Caenorhabditis elegans: one gene and its partner. The protein of the gene in region 1 interacts with the protein of each later gene in a pairwise test. Each region holds a gene or a part of one and is shown on either strand. Other genes may lie near its edges. The genes, in order: arl-3 and dac-1.

Region 1 (10,801 bases):
ATCTAAAAGTACGAAAAATTTCCATAAAGTCTTTCCAGTCTGAAGAGTTTTATCTGAAAGCTAGGAAACATTACCCTTGGAATCCCAAAAGTTCAAAACTCTTCTATTCGAAACTGATGCTTAAGAAATCCGAGTCTTATCAGTATCTTATCGAACGGTACAAAATACGCTAAATTTTCAAATAGCTAGTTTCTCAGCTTGCAGGGAGTGAAAAATCAAAAGCGTTAAGATCAAAATCATGTTTATTTTTTTAAGTTTGCGTTATGGTAGAAATTCAAAAGGGAGCAAAACAAAAAAAACGTTTAAAAGACTTTATAGATTAAACCTGGATTAAAAATTTTGCATAAAGCTATGGTCTACAAAAGTGGGGAAAATTGGCAAAAGTTCAGGACAGTGGAGAAACTTTCAGTCCAAGTGTTGGAAAACCGCCAAACAAAAAAGGCTTCTCGCGAAATTTAGAGCATTTTTACATGTTCAAATGCCTGTCTCAGAAAGGAAAATTGTTGGTCTTTCGTTTTCAAAACTATTACTGGTACTGGAACAAAAACAGAAACAATGATACGTTAAGAGTCAAAGTTAAGCTGATCGCTATGACCAGTCACTCTACAAGAAACACCCATATCGCCTATAAACTCATTTATTGTATTTTGTTCCTCATTAGCTAGCCTCCTCCTAAAAAGCTATGCCATTAAAATCGAGAAGCCTCATCGAGAACGATAAAAGGAACAATTTCGAAAAACCGGCTAAGATATGTGATATCTGACCCAGCGTGTCATCACCCTTTCCGACAATTTGATCAGGAAGACGCATCGATGTTATTGTTAGATTAGACATGGAAGGGGGAGGGGGTGCCAAATTGAAATGATCTGACAAGAGACAGGGGGCTAATTTGGCAATCTGAATTTTCTAATAAGTGTTAGTTGATTAATTATGTCTCTACAGTCAGAAATATGGTTGGCATGAATGAGTTTCGTCTGAGCTATTATATGGATCCACCAAGGTCATAAAAATAGAGATAACGAAATTGAAGAGGTACCAACTAGTTGTTTGATAGTCAGCAAAGTTGGTACATACAATTTCTACGTCACAACATCTTGGCAGTTGTTTCCCCACAGTTGGGCACACGAATTTTTTTCTGCATCAAATTTGCCATCTCAAAAACTGAATTTTTCTTTTAGAAATATTTAAATTTTTTTAGCTCGATTACCCAAAATTTTAACGTTTACAGTTTTTAAAGATCTAAAGAGCTAGTGATTTTGTTTTGATAGGCTTAGAATATAACCGAATAGTCTTTTTTTGTATCTAACTAATCAGCTTAATCCAGTGATCAGTCTATAATATTTCAACTTTCACTTTTTATCTCCTTCTCTCAACGGTGTATTAACTAGATTCGCTTTGTTTTTAATTGCCCTTTCATCCCCTCAACCTTTCATAAAATGTTTCCGTCTGTGTTGTTTCAAGAAGCGTAACGACTACCTAGATATCATCAAAAATCGTATCTTTTTCATCTCTGGATCAAAAAGTGACTTGATTTCCTGTGTCTGAACTTACACATTGAAGAAATCAATAAAATTAGGATTTCAGGTCAAGTACAGTAATCTATCACGCCTTGAAGTAGAATTCGCTTCGTGCCAAATTTTTGATAAACCTTTAGGTACGGTAACGTTTTCACTAAACGAACTTTTTTAATAACCTTGTCACCCGTTCCGGCCAGTCTCATCAATCATTAACGTGTCCAATTTATCACCAAACCTTTCTTCTGAGACCTCAAGAATAATGGATCAAAAGCTAAAGGGACACAAAGCCTTTATTTCAGCTCAAAATTTCTTGGAAAATGCGAAAAAATTAATTAACCCATACAAAACATAGAAAAATGGTAGTCAGACCTATACAGACAGAAAAATGTTAGTCGGTGGGTTTCATTTTTTGCGGTCAAACAATATTTCGTGACATTTTGCGGGTTCTTGTGATGGTTATCTCTCGGATGGTGGCTTGGGCCATGGCACCAAGCAGAACCTCTGGGCACGAGACAAATGCGACGTTGGAGTTTGAGTAGGATGCGCAGAGAGCGCGGACCTGGAAAAAATGAATTTTATTCATTGAATTTGAATAAAGCACTTTTGAAAACTTACCTCTTCCTTCAATTTATCATTGACAGTAACCCAAATTGTGTAGACTCCTTTTGGATTTCTAATCAGACATTCCTTAAGCATAGGAATATCAGTGGAAGAGTCTCCGCATACCAACACGTTGCCTTCCTGAAAATTTCTCATTGTAATGTTCCTCGAGCAAGTGAGAGATTATTATTTTTTAAATAAAAAAAAACGTGTAACACAGTTTTCACATTTTTATAGACATCAATTCAAAAGATCTACTTTTAAATAGCAAACATAGGTTTCAAAAGTAAGTTTAATACATTTCCTAATGTTTTTGTACCTTAAATTTCAGAGTATAATACTTTGAAAATACTATAAATTCACTTACCGTCAAATCACAGTGCATTTTCTCACACAGCAATCTTAATCCATCTCCCTTATCGAATACGTGACCATCTGTTTCTGTCTGGAAAACACTTTCGGATTTTCCCCTACAATCTGTAAAACATACCTTCATATAAACCTTAATGTCAAATTCAGTGCTAGCCAATTGAAGACGTGTACCATGTGGATCCACATCCTTCACAATTTTCTCAATTTCTTCGTGTAGCTGTTTTCCTTGAGCCTCGGTGATTGTCTTGTAGACGTCTTGGAACGCAATGGTCAAGTGACCGTAATGCTTTTGTAGTCCTGAGCCAACCCATGTGAATGGACGGAACTCGGGCTCCTCTAGCAAGTGAGAGATTCGTGTGTACGCCTGAAAAACTGAAGTTTTGAGACATTTGAAAAGTTCAGCTTACGCTTGCTAGGACATCAGCCTTCTCTCCTTTCAAAATTGACTCGTCTTTGAAATTATGACCATTGTCGATGAACCACTCACGGCCACCGGATGCACCAAAATAGTAATAACCATTTGGAATAGTTGACACATCAAGAACACCGATGTGCATTAGAGGAGCTGTAGTCAGAATTACACAGGTTTGAGCACAGCGGCGAGCAAATTGGGCCTAAAATAATTGATAAATATTATAGTTATTTGTCAAGCACAACTTGTGACAGGTGAAAACAAAAAACTATCCACTTCTTGACTAACATTAATTTTTTTAAAGTTTCAATTTTACTAGAATATTTTTGGTATTAAAAAAATAGCAATAAATATAATACTACAAACTATACTTTTTCATTAAACTACATTACAGATGTACTATGATTTATTTCTAGGTTGGTGATAAACAATTCCTTATACTGAACTTCTACGAAAAAATTCAAACTATAATCACATATTAGTATAGAATTAAAATTATGACTACGAAAGTGTAACAGAGCAGAGAGCAACAGAGCAAACTTTTTTGAACCCTTTTTCTAAAACTTAAATAATATCTACAAATTCTCCAATTTTCCATATTTGCATACCTGAATGACTCCAGAATATGCTGGCTGAATACTTGACGGATAACTGCACGAATAACTTTTCAAAGTTCCGTCTCGATCGGTGAAGAAATAGTGGAAATGATCAGCAGAGTAGAGCAGCTCAACGGCCTAAATGTTAAAATTGGTTTGGGGTGGTGGAGGTATAAATTGGATTTGATAGAAAACTCTGAATTTTTGATTCTCTGGACAATTCTGGATGCACTTAAAATTATTCCTAACAGTTATTTTGGTGATTCAAATTGTTCAAGTAAAATGTTCAGTTAGCCATAGTTGATTAAGGTACTTTTAATAATTTTCCAAAATTTCATTTACAAAATTCAAAAAAAATTATTTTTTCTTTAAAAAACAATTCAGAAAAAATTTCCAAACTCGATGGGGTTTGTTTTCCTAGAAATATCCAAAATTGAAATTAATTGGCACTTTAGTTATGTACTACCCTTACATTTTCAACTTCCTTCTTATAGGTTTCCACTGAAATTGGATGTGAGCTGATGAGTGTCTGAAATTTAATTTTTTTAAATAAATGCCAATTACATTCACTATTTAAAAAAATTATTAATAAATCCACGTGGTATGATATTTATTAACTGATATACGAAAAAAACATGGAAAAGGAGATACTAAGCATGAGAGACTGCCACAGAGATATTGTAAATGGATAGAGATGGTGGGGAGAGAAGCACTTGCGCTCGATTGATAACTTAGGGCAACACTGGTAATACTGTATACTCCCTGGAAGATTTTTTGTGTGGGATTATACAATGATCTATTTTTTAGAAGCCGGTTTCAGGTTACTAGCAACCCAAGTGATTCCGTCGTTGATGCCCTCGTTTTTGAGCGCTGAGCAGGCTTGAATGTGCCAAGTGCGGTCGCGGAGAAGGTCCAGGTTTAGTCTGAAGGTGATTTTGGAGATTAGAATTTGGAGTTTAGGAATTAAGCTGTCAATGCATTTTTATTGCAATTTGAAATTGGATGTGAGCTGATGATAACTTTTCAAAAAAAACTGAATGAATACATTTTCTATTTCTATCAGTGTTATTAATATAAGAAGGTTTAGCTTATTAGAGAAAAAGTCCTTGAGGGAAATGGCATTCGCTTTTTATGTATGAAGGCAAAGGACAAACCAGGTCATTCGTTTTAACAACCATAAATTGTTATTGTTGAAGAAAAATACTTACTTTCTGGTAATTTCCTCTGATGACGCTGCTGTGACAAGATCCTGTTTATTAGCAAATATGAGCACCGGAACCTTGCGAAGCTTCTCCTCGTCAAGCAGTTCGCCGAGCTCAATGTTCATCTCGTCGAACCGCTTCTTGTCATTACTATCGATCACGAAGATCAGTGTGTCGATATTTTCGTAGTAGTTGGACCAATACGGACGAATCGATCGCTGACCTCCGATGTCCCAGACGTTTAGACGTATGTCACCCATAGCGGCGACAGTCTTCACGTTGAATCCCTTGGTCGGTGTGACGTGTTGAACATCTTCAGAGGACAGCTGCTTCAGTATTGTCGTCTTACCGGCGTTGTCGAGTCCTAGTAGAAGGATTCGGATTTCGCGGCCACTGGGTGACTTGAATGATTTCAGAACATCGATGAGTCCCATTTTTGTGAGAGGTCAAGGGATAGGAATACCAGAATAGAATTCGAACGAAAAACCGGAAACGTGTGAGAGAGAAGGAGAGAGAATGAGGACAACGTCTGCAAGTGAGAGAAGAGAAGCTTACTCTCTAGCTCCCGTATGTTACCATAGAGACGTGCATGCTCGTGCGTCTCTGCTCCTCCCATCTCTTAGCTTCTGAGCTCAAATGTTGAGCACGCATTTTGTGTGTGCACGTTTGTGAGTCAGATGAAGTGGCCGGTGGCGAAAAATCGCGTGATGAGCTCTCGAAGGTTTCCATTACAATTAACTGATTTTAGGATAGATTTGGGAAGTGCAAATTAGAAAATGTACAAGTCCATTGTTGGTGAAATGGGATTAAAAGTATTTCGAAATATGTTGATGAAGTATGAATATTTAAATTTCCTCAAATGATGAATATTATGATGCATGTAAAATTTGAGAGGAAAAAGGAATTTGAAAAAAAGGTTGCTCAAAGTTGTGGTTTTGTGTATTTTTTCGGAAATTTCAGAATTTCAATTTTAATTGACAAAATTGCACGCATCCTATGAATGTTCCTACATCAATTTTGAAAAATATACGAATTCTATGAAAATATCTTAAGAAAATGGGGGAAAAAACTTCAAAAAAGCACAGTGTTTCGTCTTATAAAAAACCCCCGACAAATCGAATATTTTCGGCAAACCGGCAAACCGACAATTTGCAGACTTGCCCAGTTTGTCGACAAAAAAATTGAATAAAAAGTAAAACTTGGTGCCTGCCTGATTGCCTACAAATTTACTAACAGCTGAACTTGCAATAATTTTTGCATACAAAAAAACCATAAAATGCAAAAACAAAGACTCAAAAATTTCAATAATCAAATATCAAGTTTCATATCAAATTTTTTGCCGCAGTCGTTTTAGTGTGCATATGTCTTCATCGATTTAAACAATAGGTCAAGTGTAAGCCTTGCGTTATGAGTATCATGTGAAAAAAGCTCAACGCATTCGAAATTGCCCCCCGCCCTCTGCAATTGTTTTTCGTGTCATCGAGACCACTCTCGCTCCCGGCTACATAAAACTTTTAAAAGTACACATTCCATTGCGTATAACCTATTTTCTATAGACATTTTAGATAATCAACCTTGACCAAGTTTTTCAAAATTATTAGGTTTTACAAATGATTAACGTAGTAGTGCGAATAATTTCTGGCACCGTATCTTGTTTTTGGTAAGACTCGTTCCAACTAATTTCAAAACCATATGATCACTTGAAAATGTCCATTCATTTCTGAATCTAATAAAATAATTTTGTCAATAATAACAAACCATTTCATCCAGTTTCCCTCCCAATGCCCTAAAATCTCAAGTGCACTTGATGTCCATACGTCTTCTTTTTTTCTCACTTTCCTCCTACAGTTCGCTTTTCCTCATTTTCAACTGCTACTAAAATTCCAATATCGGTAGAAAAAGTAGGTCACCCTTCTCATCCATTTGCCAGAATAAGGGGGAGGTTTGCGAATTTGAAATTTTATTTTTCAAGGACAGGTGCGGAGACACAATATATCGCTATCTCTATTTTCAACTTTTTTGACAAGATGGTATCACGGTTGGTGGTTTTGTTTATTTCGCTGACTTTTGTTGGAGTTTTGGAGACGGCGGATATTTGCGACATTCTGTGAGTTTTTTTTTTAAATGAAAGTGTTGGAGGACCATCATTTTGTTACTTACTGTTATGTATTCGAAGAATTAATATAAACAGGAATTTTAAATGAGAGGCTGAAAATACCGTTTTAGATTATTGTACTTTTAACGTTTCGACTAAATTTATTGACAAAAATATTTCAGCGATGCCAACTATTGCTTCTACTTCTCTGACTCGGCCTGCTATATTAACCTATGTCAATGTGAGGCTTGTTCCCAACCAGACAAAGTTCAAGCTTTGCTCCTTGACGATTCTTCAAATTCCACCCACGAATCTCAAGGAAGACTCTGCCCATCTTGGTGTGGACACTTAAAATCAAACGAGACCATTGTGAACATTTTGGGCGCTGTGGTAAGTTTTTATTAAAGTAGAAAAGTAATTTTTGCGTTGTTTTAGGGAAACTCTACAACCGATCTGCAAGATGTTTCATTTGAATGTGACGATTTGAAGAAAAACTGCCTTGCCGTAAAGAAGTACAACGGTCATTGCTACTTTTTCGAGAAAAATTGTGAATATGATGCGGCTATTTCGAAAAGGGGAAAATCAAAGGTAATTTCGCTTTTTGGAGTAAAGTTATTACTTAAATTGATTCAAAATTGGCCTTAATAGACCAGTTTTATAGAAAACTCTTGAAATTTTTGAAAAAGGCAAGTTCAACTTTGAGCCATGATAAAAATTTTTAAGTTCTCAAACGTTCTCAGTATTTTTGCATTTTAAGATTTTTAAATATAGTTTACCTATAAGAACAATTTTCAGACCTCACGAAACCCAAAAACCGCTGGCGAATGCTTGAAACTGCAGAAAAAATGTAGTCAAAAGTACAAGAAACATTATGCTTGCAAGACTTTCAGAAGACACTGTAGAAAATATAACTTGCCAGAAATTGAAGTCAATAATTCAACATTGACGAGTAATTCAGTGAGTTATAGAGTGTTATAGCCTTATTTAAATAAATAATAACTACCGTTTATAAATAAAAATAATGAGAAAATTCCAGACCCATGTTCAAGTGAGCCCATTGGAGCAGTGTCTAAACTTCCAAAAAATCTGCGCCGCCAAGTACAAAAAGCACTTTGCGTGTCGTCAATACCGCAAGAAATGCCTGTCCTACAACCTTCCCGAAATTCATATGGAAAAGTCAGAAGTCACACAAAAGCCACCAAACCAACACAAGAAGCACATGAAGAAGGGACATGGAATGAGAAAAGAGCACAATCACAATGTGAATGAGACTGTGGTGCTGTCAACAGACGAGATACAAATTGGAAATGAGACACTGGTGGAGACACTTTTAAAAGATAATTAATTGTTTTACACGCTTTAAAATTTGAAGAGGAGCACAAAATGAATAAATTAATAAACGAAATAAGTATAATGCTAGTTATAATTATAAATTTCTTCGCGTCAAGACCAACGCGATTAAAAAATATACTCACATCTACAAACTGCTCCACATTGTCAGCATCATCACTTTGCACATAATCGATAAAACTCAAATCTCTTTCAAACTCTTGCAATTCATTATCAATCTCGAAGTGAGCAACTTCCTTTGAGTCCGGTCCAGATTTAAATTCGGCGGTATGGGTACCAGGTTTGCAGATCTGCTCCAAGGATTCTTTGGCATTGCGGAGAGAAATCGCAAAATGGGAACGGATTGGTATTCCTTTCAGGACGCGACCCACAATTTGCCGGCGGACATTGCGAGTTTTCATCATCAGAGAGAAGAAGTCGTCGAGGGTTTCAACCTAAAAATGATAAGCACTAGTTAATTATTTCAAACTATGTTTTACCTGAGTTGGCCTGATAACTTCATGTGTCCAACTTGGATCCAAAAATGCACAACTCCATCTCTCAATATCATTGGCCATTATAAACTCGTGAAGCCTCTTTCCATGCTCTGCTCGTACATCCTCTGGTTCCAAAGCCGCTGAGTAGAAGGCATCGCAATAAGAGTCCGGATCAAAGACATTGGAAATTCTATGATAATTCTTCTCCTTATCGCTATAAAGCCCAGCAGTAGTGAACTGAATTTCAGATCCTGCACCTGTAGAGAGTACTAGTCCAGCTTTCGGATTACAGACAAGCATTTCTTTGGCGACGAGGTTCATTCCATCCTTCTTCGGAGTTACTACACCAATGTCCATTGCAAGATAGGCAGCAACTAGTTCACTTCTTGGAAGCCCGTCAGTTTGGAAGACCAATGGTTTCCATGTGGGGTTATTGGGATCTTTGAATATTTCATTGATCTTATCCGCAAGATCAATACATTCATCCTGATACACTCGATACGTATCCACACTTCTTCGATTTGTAACAGCGATTTGAAAAAGTACATCCTTGCCAATTCGATCTGGATGTCTCTCGAAATACCTCTTATAGGCCTGAAGCTTTTCCATAATTCCTTTGGTGTAATCGAATCTTTCGACCGAGAAGAAGAATCTACCGTCTGGGGCTGGTGTGTCTCCCATGACGCGTTTTCGGAGGTCATTTTTGAGTTTGATGGTTTCAGGAAGATCCACAAATTTCAAGAAATCGTCGTTCTTAATGCTCACCGGGAAGACTCCGAGGGAGCATGTCCATCCTTCATTTGTTACTGAAAATGTATTTCTTTAAGTTTCAAACCAAGAAGGGTGAAGGTGGGTAAACGATTTTTTCTGGCATTTCGGCAAACTAGCAAATTGCCGAGGTTGAAAATTTCCGGCAAGTTGGCAAACCGGCAATTTGCCGATTTGCCGAATTTGTCTCAAAGCTCAAAATTTTGATCAGACTCGTTCCTGAATGCTTTACCAAAATATGCTCTCAATCAACTCACTGGAATAAATATCCATCTTATTGTCATACACAATTTTCGCGGTTCCAAAGTAATGTTGAACAAGTTCTATATATTTTGTACGATCCCTGTGAGTTTGGAATCCAACTTTAGTAAACCTCAGCAACCCTCTGAGCACCGCAAATCCCACAGTGGAGTACTTTGAGAAAAACTCTCCAGGTGGCTGGAAGGGAATGTGCAAGAAGAATCCGACTTCTAGATGTTGATCTAAAGACTGCATGATCATTCCAACAAGCATCAAATGGTAGTCATGGATCCAGATGAAATCTTGTGGCCGACTGTTTCTCACGGCGTCAATTGCGAATTGGTAATTGACTCGAACATAGGCGCACCAATGAGCTCGGAGAATTTTCTCGTCGTCGTACTCACTGACAATGTATTCTGGGAGATTGTGAAGTGCAGGCCATAGTAGTCCGTTACTGATGCCTCCATAGTAAACGTTATAGTCGTCTTCTTGAACAACTACCGGATTCAACTTGTAGTTTCCGCGATTGTAATTGTTGAGGACACCAAGAAGAGACATTTCTTCACGAGCTTTCTTCTGTTTCTCATTCTTCGGTGCATCCATATCGTCATCAGCGAGAACGTGGAAGAACACTTCCGCAATTGTTTGCTTAATAAGTGGAAGCCCCAGAGTATTCGTTGATGGGAATGATTCCGGGATGGAGGCTACTGATCCGGGTCTGGAAATTTTATGATTTTACTTATAATACGATTTTAGTCTTTATATTTCTCACCTTTTTTGTTTTTTATCATTAATGTTCATTCCCAAATTAGCCAACCATAAGTTTTCGTGATCCTTCGACATAACTGGATCCACACATGCGACCAGTCCTCCGGAACCTTGCTTGATCTCCCAGTCGCCGGTTTTTTCACGCTTTAGAGAAACAGGTGGTGCGTTGGACACGTTGATGACACGTTGTTGGAAATGTGACGTGGCAAGGCCGCTTCTTGGAGCTTTTGGGTCTTCCTCGCTTTCGCTTTCTGTGTGAGTTCCAGAGCGAACGTTGTGAATGGCTGAAAATTTAGAAAATATTAGGATTTTGTCGAACAATTTGAAGTTAAGCCTACCTTCCTCTCCCTCACTATCACTTGAAACACTGCATAGAGAAGTGTGTGATCCATAGCGAGCCAGACG
Region 2 (14,386 bases), on another chromosome or scaffold:
GGCAAAACGGCCTAACTTCATAGCATACTCTTGCAACTTCTTATCAACAATTAGGCATTTTAGCTTTTAAGCAAACTTTTGCAGCTTTTCAGACGACTTTTGCAATTTCTTAGCAGATGCAAAGCTAAATTTCGCTCACAATCCCGTTGGTTTTCGCAACTTCTTAACAGCTTTTTACAAAGTTATATAAATGTTTTTATTAAGTTGCAGGAGTTTGCTATGAAGTTGCGACGTTTTGCCGAGAAGTGTACCCTTTCAATTTTGAATTAGAGAATAAATTTTATTTTTAAGGAATTTACGGTGTTTTGAATGTTCTTACCTCAACAAATGTTAAACAATTGTTACATTTAATCAGAAGCTTGAATCATGTTTTATCAGACCAATTTTTTCTTTAATTATATGTTAGGCTGCTTATTGAGAAATCGAAATGTAAAAGAAACAAATCTGTAGTTTAATTTGACTAAATTCAACAAGATTTTAAGCTACTTTTAAAATGCGAACAACGACATTTTCGGCAATTTTCAAAATATTCAAAATGTTCTCAAACCATTATGTTGATAACATTAGGTTGATAATGGCAAGTGACCAGAATAAGTATTGAGTGTGTAGTAAAAAAATTCCGATCAGTCTACAATTGCAGATATTTAAAATAAGCGACTATCGGAACTTTTGGCGATTACTGAATTATCGAAAAAATCTGATACCCGAACAGCAATCGCCTTGTTAACTTAATGAAAATTGAATTAATGAGAAATTACAACTTTCAAGCAGACCTAGAATTATTCACAACGTTTTACTCCTGAAATATATTCGCACAGAATCTTTGAAAAGTACAAAAATTTGGAATAAATTTTCATGAACAGAAAACCTATTAGGGGCCAATTCCGCAAAATTTTCTGGAAGCTTCTTTTCTCTACGGTATAGATGAGTTACCACATGGATGTCCAATCGCTGCGCAGGCCACGCCCCTCTGAGATCTCAATATGGATATGAGAGCCCGCCTCATTATGGGCGGAGTTCAGAAGAATGGGATAAAAGGGGGGAATTCAGTAGTTTAAGCCCTCATTCAAAGTTTTTCTTTGGAAAAAACAACAACTTGTTCAAAGCTTTTTTATTTCTACATCTTCAACTTTTTTTCGACTGCCCGGTTCAGCCCGCTTGAAGTTCAGCCATGTTCATGGCATCTTCACTCCCGGTGTTTATCTTCCTTCTTTCCCTCCCACATGGTTTGACGTTCAACTGCACCAACTCAGGTGTTTGTATTGAAAAGATGAAGCAGCACCGAACAGAGTACCTTAAGGTGAGCATTATTTGATCCTGTAAGATCATTCAAGCTTATCCGGATTTGACGAAACTTTACTAGTCCACTAGTTTGTTTGATCACTGTGATTGTGTCTTACTTTAATGTTTCATTTTACATTCTTTAGAACGAAATTCTCGACCAGCTGAACATGAAAGAGGCACCAAAGGGATTGAAGCCAATGGACCCAGAAATGAAGTCAGTCTACCTGGAGATGTATAGGGACTTACTGGAGAAGGACGAGCAGGATATGGGCGTTGAAATGTCATTCTACACCGCCAAAGATCCAAGTTATGGAGAGAACCCGTCGCAGCTTGTTGCCAAGTTTGACGTCACAAATGATTTGGAAAGAAGCGATATTCTTCAGGTATCGTTTGGTTTTTTTTTAAAAAGAATCCTTTTATTAAATTTCAATTATCAAATTTCAGGCCACACTCACAGTATCAATTGAGATTCCTGCAAAGGATTCAGGGATGCTTCAAGATGTTCAAGTTCAAGTTTACGAGAAGAACGAGGATGGATCAATGGGAGAGATGGTCACTTCTGGAATTTTCGCTACAAAGGGATCCGAACGTATCAGCATTCAACTTCCAATTGATACTGTCAAAAGGTATGACGAGCAAACAAATTGCAGGCGACTAATTTTAAATATTCCAGTTGGTTCACAATTTCTCCGATCCAAGGTATCTTCGTCAAGGCAATGCTCGACGGGCGCAACGTTGCCCTTCATCCCCAACAGACCACTGCTGACGTTGACAACATGCGTCTTCAGCTCTCCACTCGTCCAAAGGGGTCCCGCAAACGCCGTTCTCATGCCAAACCGGTTTGCAATGCCGAAGCACAGTCCAAGGGGTGCTGCTTGTATGACCTCGAAATCGAATTCGAAAAGATCGGATGGGACTGGATCGTGGCCCCACCACGTTACAATGCCTACATGTGCCGCGGGGATTGCCACTATAACGCACACCACGTACGTTTCTTGTTGTCTCATAACGTTTCCAAAATGAAAAAATATTTCAGTTCAACTTGGCGGAAACCGGACACAGCAAGATCATGCGCGCAGCTCACAAAGTCTCCAATCCTGAGATCGGATACTGCTGCCATCCAACCGAGTACGACTACATCAAGCTGATCTATGTCAACCGCGACGGACGCGTCTCAATCGCCAATGTCAACGGAATGATCGCCAAGAAATGCGGTTGCTCATAAATTCCACTTCCGATTGTCACAAATGTTAAGTAGTCACCGATTTGTTTCTTCTTAATGAATCAAAATTCATGATTTCAACCCCGTAGTCACATATCCTCTCCTTAGTTGTAGATCCTTCCCTCCATCCCGTTCATCCTCAAATCACGAGGAGCTTCTCTTCTGTCGGTCTCCTTTCCCTCGATCTCATCCCAGAATGCTCGCCGAAATAATTATTTCCGAATCGTGTGTTCACCATTCACCATCCATCTGATATATCCTTTGTCAGCTCTCTCTTTTCGTACCTCGGATCCTTCCACTACCTCCTTCGACAAATGTTGTTCCCCTCCCGAAAGCAACAATGTGATAGGCAACGACTCCTTCTCCCATTTTTATGTGTGTCTGTGCGTGCGTAGTTGTGTTTTCTGAGATTCAATTTCAACAAACCACGCACTTTTTCATCATCATTGACAAGAATATGTTATAAAACACTGTGATTGAGGAATAAATTATTGAGTGCTGTTACACATTTTCTTTAGAGTTTTAAACTCTAAAAATGGCCACCAGAGGCGCCTCGAGCTTAATTTTTTACTTAAAAATTAAGAAAAAATGGGCAAAATACTTGCAAAAAACGTTCTGCAGCATTTTATATAGTTTTCTGAGAAATTGCTTGAACGGTAACAATGAGCTTTAAAGTTCTCATATTTACCACGGTTGTACGATTTAACAAAAATCTCCATACACTTGGTGTCAGGTCTGGACAGTTCTGTTGCCACTTTGCTAAACAAGACAACTGTTTTCATTGAATTTCATTCCTACAAATACGACAGTAAAGTTTATATTTCCCTGTTCTCTAGAACATGACATTAGAAACCATTCCCAACAATCGTTTGAAAAAGTTGCATTAGCAAGGAGAAGAATTTAATGTAAAGAGACAAGTAGATAAGGATCTTAAGTTGTTCGTTTAGTTCGTTTTTTCGGTGAATGATAGAATGAATACAAAAAGGTATTGAACTGTTCCGAAAAACTATTAGGAACTTCCCGAAATTAAGTTTTGAAAATAATCACAACTGATTTAACCATTTGGATTATCCAGTTGTTGAACCACATAATCACTTTTCTACTTGAAATCGTTGCCATGTTGCAAATCTAGATTGAGATTTAAATCTTCATTGGCTCCAGATTCTTGCCTCAAAAGATGTTTTGGAGAATGTTTGGTTCTTACCAAAAATTTTTGATTATGTACTAAAATGTAAAAAATGATTTTGATTTCCTATGATTTCCTATGACCTTTCAGTGTTTATTCTCAATTCGGATTGTTTAGCAAAAAAAAATTAGTTCCGGACAAGTCTGACACAAAACAATTTTATCACTGATCTGAAATTTGTCTCAACTTCTAATTGTAAGAAAAAGCTTGTGCGGTACATATTTGACTCCTGAGTAATATGGTTATACAGTTTTTGTTACTATCTTCCGAAAAACATCCCCCGCCGCACTATACATTCGGATACATGCGGCGACTTCATGAAAGCCCTAGTCTAATTGCGTTTTAATAAGAATTTATCCGGATGATCACTGTTTTATAAAGATTGCCAACTAAATTGATATTTTTTATAATTTTCACAAATAAGCGTACTGTATCAGCTCTAATTTGCCTCAAGAACTTGCACCACTATAAAAAATGAATTTCTCATGCGTCTAGAGCTCAAATTACGTTTCACTCATTCAGCCATGATTATATCAATGCAGATGTAGGCTACACGTTTAGTAGCTTCAGAGCAGCAGCAAGTCTATAAATACCCAAAAAAAATTGGAAAGCCTCTGAATCATTGTGTGTGTGTGAGTGAGCAAAAGTTCAGCTACAAAAATGGATTTTGATCTCTTGTTTTATGGCTTCAATTATCAACATTTTCAAATTTTAAATTATTTTTTCCCGAAATTTAAATTTTTCTGACTTTGAATTTTTGACTTTTTGGCGATTAAATGAAGCCATTTTTCGAAATATTTTTTTCTTGGCGAGAGAAAATAATTATATAGAGGAATGGTATAAAAAGTTCCAAATTTAAAGGGGGAGCTGGATGTTTTTCAAGAGAAAAGAGTACAGTAAGATTTTAATGAAAAATTTCTTTTCAGCTGGAGAAACTTAAAATTTTCTAAAAAACGGCACATTGCCGGAATTGAAAATTCCCGGCAAATCGGCAAATTGATTTTTGGAAATTTCTGAATTTCTACTTCAATTGGCAAAATTGAACGCGTCCTACAAATGTTCCTACATCTATTTTGAAAAGTAAGCAAATTCTATGAAAATATTGAAGAAAACGGGAAAAAATTTCAAAAAGGCAATCAAGTGTTTCCGTCTTATAAAAATTCCTCTAAACATTTCCGGCAAAGCTGATATTCGACGAAAGGCAATTTGGGAATACGCCAAAAATGAAAATTTCCGATAAATCGGCGAACCGCCAATTTGCCGATTTGCCGGATTTGTTGACAAAAAAATTGTCGAACGGCAATTGCCACCCACCGCCCACTGGCACTAATTTCAAATACTTTTCATAGCAAAATCCACCACAGGGACATTTCATAGTCAAAACAATAATTAAAATTAAAATTAAATGTTTTTTTTAAATTTTACTCTGACTGAAATTGATGACGAGAAGGTAAATATTCAAATTTCTCGTATAAGACAAACTTCTCCACAAAATCTATTTTCAGGTTACAAATCAATTAGAAAAAAATCCATTCATGCCGATTTTCTCATTCCTTTCCTCCTTTTTCTTTTCCTCCTTCATTCAATAGCAATAGCAATAAACTAAGTTTGTCTCAAGGTGGAATGTCCTGTAATGTAATGAACAGAAGAACTCCTATTCAGTTCTTCGTCTTCGTCTTCACCTGTCTTCAAGATCCTAATCTGCGAAATGATGGCAACCACATTTCACCATTCAGTTGCGAATTTCTTTCATCTGAATGTGAAGAGTTTCGTGTGTCTTCTTGAACCATTCGAATGAATTCGCTGGCAGCAATGCAGGAACTCAGCCAACTTGGCGGATATTTTCAAAAACTTGCTGCAGGTATTTGAAAATTTCAAACCGTTAAAAAATGAGCCCTTTTGATTCCGTGACAATTTCTGACGTTTTAAGCTAGACTTTTTTGAAAGAAATTTTTTTAAATAAACTTTAGAATATCTAACTGATTCTGACTCCAATTCAAAATAAAGAAGAGAGATTTTTCTTTGATATAGAACTACATTTTTCGCGTCAAAAAGTTTTTGACTTTTTTTTCTCGTTTTAAGAAACTTGTTATAACCTGAAACATGAATTTGAGTAGCGGACGCCTTGGGACGATCTTTTAAAACATACTAATTTTCTAATTTTCTTTGTGGATTATGTAAGTAAGCGTTGTAGAGTAAGTTACTCCTTTAAAGTAACAAACTATTGTATTATCTCAATAGTCTTGCAGCATCTATTGCTCTCACACCGCATTAGAGCATACAAGTCATTCGAAAATCATTTTTACGTGCAAGGAGATACTGTGCAATTCTTTCCGGCAAGTCGGCAAATTGCCGGAATTGAAATTTCCGGCAAATCGGTAAATTGCCGGGATTGAAAATTTCCGGCAAATCGTGCAAACCGGCTATTTTCCGATTTGCCGAATTTTTCCGAAAAAACGGCAATTGCCGTAAATGTTCGGCAAATTATAGCTTTGCACATTGTTTTTGGAAGTTGCCGGAATTGAAAATTAAAAAACAAAAAAATTTGCCGAACGGCACTTGCTGCTCTCCCCTGATACGTATGTATATCAATTTTTCATTGCTCTCTAAAAAGTGATGTCATTTTCTTGAAGATATTTTTCCCAGAAAGCTCGGAATCAATAATCGAAGCTGACTTTAAACTTAATTTCAAATGAAATTGTGACGTAGAAATTCTGGAACAATAGGGTTGATCACCATTACGAAATAGACTAGGTATGTCATCAATAAGTACGTCAGTTCTTTTTTTGCCTATTTATTCCCCACATGAGCGTCATCTAATACATGCTTACTCTATCAAAAACGAAAAATCGGTAAATATTTATGTGTAGGAGCACTTAGAAATATTAGAAAATCACCCGTACATTACCTGTGTGAGGATTTTCGGATGGTAATCCGGATTTGTCGGTGGGATAACGGGGTTGTGCCAGAGAAAAATGAGGATACCTTATTTTCGCGCTCACTTCAATTCCTATTCCATTTCACATCAACATCAAACATACAAATTCTACCTATTGCTTACAACTATTATCAGTATTTGATTATATGGATATCGATGAAAGAGGTTGATGTACACATGGTCTAATAACGCATGTTGTTTCAGATTTGAGAGTTGTAGTGATAGTTTAAGCGGCGAAACTAAACTTATCGCCATTTTTTTGGAATTTTTTTGAAAAACAATTTCAATGTTTTAGAGGTGTTTACTATATTAGGCAGATAAGCAATTCGGTTAGTTAAAAATTTTTTGGTAGGATTGAGTGAAAACTCTTAAAATTGCCGAAAAAGTAGTATTTGGGTTATTAAGATGCATCAACAGCGATTAGAGCTTGCAGAATATTTGAAGATGGAGTAGCACCAGTGGGGGAAGTGTTAAAAAGTACTCATAGGTGCCAAAATGACAGAATATCATAATAAAAAAAAAACTTTTCAAAAATTTTTTGAAATTTTTTTATTTACTGTCAAAAAGTGACAATTACTCAGTTTTTGCCACTCATAATTTTGGAAGTCGACCAAAAAATTTTTTTTCCTACTTTTTTATACTGCAATTTTGTTTTTATTATTTTTATTAAAACATTGTAGGGGTCGGAACATGCGACATTGCTTTGGATCTCCTTAAAAGCTCTTTTTTTTTTTGGCACTTTGCAAAAATTTGTCCGGAAATTATAAAAAATCTAAAACTTTTTGGAATGTATTATTATTATATTAAGTCGTTCTGGATCATTATAAATGTATTTAGACAAAATCCCCAATGGCGCTACTTCACCTTTAAGCTGAGCCATAAAATGTAGTATGCCAAGCGTTTCCAAAAAGAACAGAAAGAGTGTAAAATTAAAAATTCCAGGCGGATTCGTGATCAACCCATCTTCTTCTTCTTCCTCATCGAACAATTCCTCATCTAACACTTCTTCGTCCAATTTTCTATCTCCATATGAGTATCAAGAATCCTCGACCTCACCACGTGACACTACAGATTCATCTGGTGAATCCTCGTTGTCCTCTTCTGGCTCTTCATCTTCACTGAATGGTTCTTGTAATGTTGCAGCCAAGTTGATCAAGTTCCGCGGGCATAACGTCGCCGCTTTTGACATAAACGGCAAAGAAATGATTTGTTTGCCTCAGGTATGAGCTTTTTTTGTGAAAACGAAATAGTCTAGAAGACATGAGAAGTTTAGGTGTACGAGGTATTTCTCAAAAATATGGTAGGAGGACTTCATACGGTATACACTAAACTCAAACGGTTGTACATTCATCCGATGGTTTGCAATGTAGAACAGGTAAAAATTCTTGTCCACTAACAAATTTTAGAATAATTTGAAAATTCACCTGACTGACAATATTCTAAACCAATTAAATAACCCGTAAAAGAATCTGATGTTTAATCTCTTTTTTAAAGAAAATAAAAATCTCTCATAATCCGCATGCAAATACGGATATTTTATCGTTATCCTTCTATAAAATCTCCACCATCCACGACTTTTAGGTGCGCGCCCTTCGATCACTTGGAGCTATCCAGCCGGGTGTCAACCGATGTAAACTACTCAAGACTTCGGATTTCGAGAAACTCTATGACGATTGTACAAGCACTTGGTGGGCGTTTTTACTTTTTGGGATCATCAGGTGATGAAAGTGTCATATTTCCAAAGTAGCATCAAACTTGGCTTGGAAATTTTGATTTCTGATAACTCTGTCAAGTCAGGCGAATGCTATTACGCTATTACTATGCGCTTAGCTTCATAAGATAGAGGTTTTTTCACTTCCTATTTTCCAAGCTACAGAAGAAACTACGACAAGTTATTTTACTTTGAAAAAAATGGATTTTCCAGTTGGTAGAAGATTGGTTTTTTATGAAGAGTATGATATGGAGAGTTTTAAACCTCCTACCGAAGAAACAACTTCTGACAGGTGATTTCTAAGGTGTTTCACGAGAATTGTTTCCTTATCACTTACATTAGGGATCCCAGCTGAAATGCGGGCCTCACGTCGACGCCGCTGTGTGTGCACAACGGTGTGCGAAAAGCTAATTATTTGGAAGCGGCCGACACATTCGGGGTTCAGCGCGGCACTATACATTCGGATAAATGAGGCGTGATTGACGCCGTGAGGCTGGCGCAGGCGACGTGGCGGCGACCTCATGGGAGCCAGAGGTGGGCAGATATTTTTTCGGATATTTTCTAATAATGAATTTATCAATTAATATTGATGTAGTTATTCTGGAAGAAATGTATCCGAACCAAAGAGTGGGGGGGGGGGGGGGGCCTATTAAGCAACATTTTAATATGATAAAACCTAGAAAAATTCTACAAGTTTTCCTTACCGAGACCTTAAAACTTATTAGCCGAGCAACATCGGATATCGGATATTACGGATATCGGATAATGGACTTGCATATCGTTTATACAGAAAACTTGTAGAATTTTCCTAGGTTTTATCATATTAAAATGTTGCTTAATAGTTACTCTTTTGTTCGGATACATTTCTTCCAGAATAACTACATCAATACTTATTGATAAATTCATTATTAGAAAATATCCGAAAAAAATATCCGCCCACCTCTGATGGGAGCCCTATTGCAAAAAGCGTCCCTCCTGGATGAAGATTTACCAAGGTTAACCCGGTTTTCGTAGAAGTTTAGCATAAAGGATCAAACTTTAAATGATTGACTGCTACTGTTGAGTACGTAGTTTTGGGAAAAAATAGCTCTAGTAAATATATTAGCAAATCATTAGAGCATTAGTTCAGAGATTCAATAGGCACTAATAGTTGAAATTAATGTCCCGAAAACATTGCTCCTGAATTTCAAAAAAATCATTAAATTTAAGAAGTACATCTAAATATTACTAATCCTTCGCTTTCAGTACCCGCCCTGGGCGCCCATCAAAAAGAAGCTTTGATGATTGGAATAACGGCGCAGTAATAATTAAGAAAGATAAAACGGATTCAGGTAAACTTTTCACAGATATACTCGATTAATTCAATTTTTTAGAGCCTGTGAATGGGCCCGTATTCAACCAACTAATGCAACCGCAAATGACGCCTCAACAAATTTTGATGCAACACTTTGTTGCGCTTTCTCAGAAGACGAAAAATAGTTTTGAGAGGTTAGTCGAGTCATTTTCTATTGTTCATAACTTCAGCAATGTTTAGAGCAGATGATGATGATCAAAATCAGAGAGACGCTGATGATATAACGCCATTGAATCTAAGTAAAAGTGGAGGAAATTCTGAGAATGACTCAGATTCTTTAGAAAATATGAGAAAAGAAGATGTGAGGCACACATTTATAGTTTGTTTGCATCCAACCTTAAACATTTTAGTCCTCACCAAACACGTCTGTTAGTGATCGTGGTGGCTCCAACTCAAATTCATTGTCAATGTCAATGGAGGCTGGGAGTAGTAGTAGTAGTGGCAAAAACGATGAAGCTTCTATGATGAATAAAGTAATGTCCTTAATTGAACTTGCTAGCCAACAGTTCAAGCATGAAAGAGAAGAGCTATGGAAAGAGCGAAGTGAGTTTTGGACTATATTCTTCTTGAATAACACATGGTTCATTGCAAGGGTCCTACATTTCCAAACATTTTAAAACTATTCTTGTCACTTATTTCTCAAGACCTGATAACTGTAAAGTATTTTTACTAATCCTACTTTTTTGATCTCCAATGCCTTCCATGACTAATCGTGAATAAGGTTTCAGACAAATCTCTCTTTTTCTGAAATTCCACTCTTTTGAAATGTATTTCAAGTCTAATCCGGTATTTTACTTATTAAGGGAAGCCAAATGAAACCAATATTATTTTGAAACATTTTAATGAATGATATCAGTTTTTTCTTACAATAAGTGAATATGTTTTGAACGGATAGGGCGAATTTTTGATTGATATAACAACAAAAAAAAACTACGTAGCAAAAATAATTCAAAAAATAAGTTTTCAGGCGAAATACAAGTTCTTCGAGAGAGTTTTCACAAGATTGTGCAAGAAGAACGCGATTTGCGCAAAAAGCTCGAAACTCAGAACAAGAAATGCACGGCTTTCGAAAAACGCTACAAATATGTCAAAAAACAACTATTGCTGGCGAATGCGGACCTGAGAAGATATAAGGAAAAGGAGGAGCAGTCTTCGGACGGAAATTCTGTGGAACTTTGAAGCTTTTTTTTTGAAATCAATTCAATTTTTTTCAGAATTACGAACTAAGTATTTTTGTGTAGAAAAAAGCACTAAATAAACTGTCATATGAAATTGCGATTTTGTTGACAAAAAATGGAAGACAATAGAAATTACATTTTCGCGTATTCCGATTCTTTCATCTTCCGATTCCAACCGTTTTTCGTAAGACTCCCATGAGGTCGCCGCAACGGCACCCGCGCCAGCCTGAATTTTTTAAGCATATTTTTCAACAACCAGGAGGATTTTTTCAGCAACCAGGAGGACTCCACAGTGGTAAACTTCTTTCGAGATTTTTAAAAGATCCAGAAATCAAAATTTTGATTTTTTGCGGGCATGAGATGATGGATTATCCTCCCCCAGCCTCCCCACATATTGAATGATCGGAATCTGCGGGGCGCTTCACTGACTGACACAGGAAATAATTCATCATATTTGTTGTGTTGGGATAAGCATTGACAAGATGGATCACAAGTGGCGAACTTTGGTTTTTTAAGACGGCTGATGGGATATCTAGAGTGCGTCGGAAAGTTAACAGTGTATGTTTGACTATTGTTGCTCCCCTGCAACAATAACACTGATTTTCCGCACTTTCAGAATGAATCTGGTCAAAATTTGAATGCATCAAAATTCGACTATTACTGATTACCTCTAAAGTGTTAAAATTCGTTGAATTTTTTTCTGAAAACCAAATATGATTTATTTTGACTACTTGAAAGCGATAAGAATTGGCTTGTGTAATTCGTATATGAACCTTGTTGTGAAAAAATTCCAGATAAAAACTGAAATGGACCTCTCTAAGTACTCGTTAGCTATATCAGAAAGGATCGGAAACTTTTCAAATCAACAAAATTTGTTTCGATCACAACGTGTCTTGTGCACAAAGTCCAACAGGATTGCTTGACCACAACAATATCGTTTTTTTTTCATTATTTTTCCACCAGAAAGATATCAAAAAGCGTGATGGAAAAAAGAAATGCCAACTGTTTTATATCTTCCCAAATTTTCCCCTTCTCTCAATCCACACTTCTCTTTTCTCCTGGATCCATCATTTGCTCAAAGTTTTCCTTTCCATTTGCTCCGGGTGTCCTCATGTCCCATTGACCTGATTTATGGGAGAAATGGAAGAGGGCTTGTTTCTTTATGATACCCAATAAACTTTCTACCCAATGTGTACTTTTTGTTTCTTGTCTCTAAGATGCTTTTACGCACAGCAACTGCCATTTTCTTTTTGTGTTTTAGATTTTTTAAAATTAAGTATTTATTTTAAAACGGTAGGAAGCAAAATTTTAAGCGGCATAACACAAATTGTTTTAACATTTTTTCATAGTATCTTTGCACTAATTTCAAGATTCTTATGCACCAAAAACATTTAGACTTTCGATTTCTAAAAAGTGCTCACAAGTAGGTTGACAATCTAAAACTCTTTTCAAAAACCTGTTTTTTAAAATTTCCTTGGATATTGAATGTCTTCAAAACTTCGAAAGTAGTGCTAAATTGCACTGAAACATTTTTAGGTCGAAAAGTTGAAATGTGGCATTATTTTATATATTGAAATTTCAGATGACAGCTTCACTAATTTTATTACCGGTATTACTAAACATACTCTATCAACCAGCAGGATCATCTCTGCCTACCTTTTCCCCGGGAAACAAGCACCTCTGCGAGGGCTTTGGGTGAGTTGTATTCATTTTTAAAAAGTGTTTCACAAAAACCAGGGCTCCCAACTGAGTGAGGCGCGAAATGCGGGCCTCACGCCGACACGTGTGCTATGTGGCGATAGGTCGCAACAGGTCGACCTAGCCTATCTTTGAGCAACTTCAATGAATAAAGTGTCTACCTCGAAAGAAAATTTGAGTAAATGGATCATGCTAATGTAATTTTTATTTTCAAAACTATGATTGAATTGTTGGTGAAGCTCTGCTGTGAAATAGGCAGGTCGACCTGTTGCCACTTATCGCCACCCTAGTGTGCGCAACGTAGTGCGAAAAAGTCGTTGTTGACGTGTTCGGGGTACCACCCCGCACTATACAGTCGGATACATGCGGCGTGAGTGACGCCGTGAGGCCGGCGCGGGCGCCGTTGCGTAACAGAAACAATAGTGAATGGTTCAGTCTGAAACATTTATGTCTGAGCCAAAATAAATGTTACTAGGAACTTGAAAACGTGCCTGCCTGCCTACTATAAAAATCTTGCAGGTTTAACTGGGCTGCAGAGATCAGGTGCCTACGAGATATAATCAACGATTGCGAAGAAGGAACACAAGAGAAGAGTAGAGGTGGACGATCCCTACAACGGTCTGAATTCCCAACAGACAACACTCCCCAAGCAGATTACGGCAACCCATACTCCTACCCACGTCCGTATAGTCGAACATACCATCGCAACTCGATAAGTCCTATCAGACCGCCAGTTCCAATGCCGATTCCACAAATTTCACAAGGATGTAACTGTAATCACGACATTGAAGCATTAGAGGCGAAGTTCGACAAAAAGTTATATGAAGTGAAGATGCATGCACAGTATGAGACGGAGAAGGGGGTTGGAGACCTTCGAAAACAATTTGAAACCGATCTTAGAGAATATGAAAGGATTACAACGAAGGATATCGTCGAGATTAAGGTTTGCTAAATTTAGTTGGGTTGTTTCTTGAAAATTTAAATTGAGAACTGATTCACAAAATGAATTCGAACAAACCGTGTTTGAGCTAGCATGGTGAGTGGATTTACTTAGTCTCAAACTTTGGAATAACACCTACTCGGCAGTTTGGTTCTCCTGTTCCTCACCCTTTTTTCACCTATCTTTCACCCTTTTTTCGCCTAGATTATATCGGCGAAATATAGCAGTGGAAGTGCGAAAGAAAGGTGAAGAAGTGCGAAAGATAGGAGAACCAAATTGCCGAGTATGTCATTTGAAAGAGGCCTTTTTTTGGTCCCTACGAAAATTTTAAAGGCAGAGGAGCACTTTGAACTGAATAAAAGTCGATCTGAAATTACAATCAGTCCATTTCTTCACAGCTTTAAAGGCTTGTAAAGTTGCTCCAAATAATAATTTTTGAAAATTTTTATGATTTTTAGGCTATTTCAAGGTAGACAAGTATTCTGGAAGCTTTTGGGAATTTGTATTCTTTTGGAAAAAAAGGAAAAATCCCTTGATGGAGTTGGGTGAAAAAATTTCAGATGTTTTCAAAAAAATAAAATTTTTTTTTAAATTCCGATTAATTTCAGGCCCCCTAAACATCCTAGAAATCTTCGAAAAATCTGAAACAAATCACATTTGGAGCCACTTTACGGGCCTCGAAAGTTATGAAAAAATGCACAGAAAGTTTTTCAGAGCGATTTTTTTCTACTCTGTCACTAAATTATTCTTATTGGTCACCTAAGATAGACTAGGAATTTTGCCTGATGCTCAAACCTTATCAGACTATTTATTGCGTTTAGTTAAAAATCGATACATTTTAAATTTTTCAACACATTGTAAAAATTCAATATTAT

What was found.
Region 2: the proteins of arl-3 (region 1) and dac-1 interact in a two-hybrid assay, tested with the Caenorhabditis elegans proteins (one large-scale study listed by BioGRID).

The regions. Positions count from the first base shown.
Region 1 is NC_003280.10:14,601,544-14,612,344, reverse strand, and holds arl-3 (ADP-ribosylation factor-like protein 3), read right to left. Parts: upstream 5,874-10,801; 5' UTR 5,134-5,873; coding exon 4,706-5,133; intron 4,421-4,705; coding exon 4,294-4,420; 3' UTR 4,027-4,293; downstream 1-4,026. Other genes in the region: pugs-2 (ShKT domain-containing protein), read left to right, coding at 6,727-6,806, 6,977-7,184, 7,230-7,382, 7,590-7,751, 7,831-8,139; tps-2 (Alpha,alpha-trehalose-phosphate synthase [UDP-forming] 2), read right to left, coding at 1,933-2,076, 2,133-2,258, 2,485-2,562, 2,608-2,853, 2,897-3,103, 3,510-3,635, 3,970-4,026, 8,270-8,578 and 4 more. UniProt on the Caenorhabditis elegans protein: GTP-binding protein that may be involved in protein trafficking; may modulate vesicle budding and uncoating within the Golgi apparatus.
Region 2 is NC_003281.10:810,767-825,152, forward strand, and holds dac-1 (Dachshund homolog dac-1), read left to right. Parts: upstream 1-5,378; 5' UTR 5,379-5,504; coding exon 5,505-5,553; intron 5,554-6,703; exon of another isoform or gene 6,704-6,795; intron 6,796-7,572; coding exon 7,573-7,850; intron 7,851-7,903; coding exon 7,904-8,005; intron 8,006-8,211; coding exon 8,212-8,318; intron 8,319-9,586; coding exon 9,587-9,672; intron 9,673-9,714; coding exon 9,715-9,829; intron 9,830-9,875; coding exon 9,876-9,996; intron 9,997-10,045; coding exon 10,046-10,238; intron 10,239-10,282; exon of another isoform or gene 10,283-10,303; intron 10,304-10,662; coding exon 10,663-10,874; 3' UTR 10,875-10,964; downstream 10,965-14,386. Other genes in the region: Dauer larva development regulatory growth factor daf-7, read left to right, coding at 1,172-1,300, 1,428-1,667, 1,729-1,910, 1,958-2,270, 2,321-2,509; clec-149 (C-type lectin domain-containing protein), read left to right, coding at 12,456-12,568, 13,091-13,514. UniProt on the Caenorhabditis elegans protein: Transcription factor. Plays a role in the thermotactic response.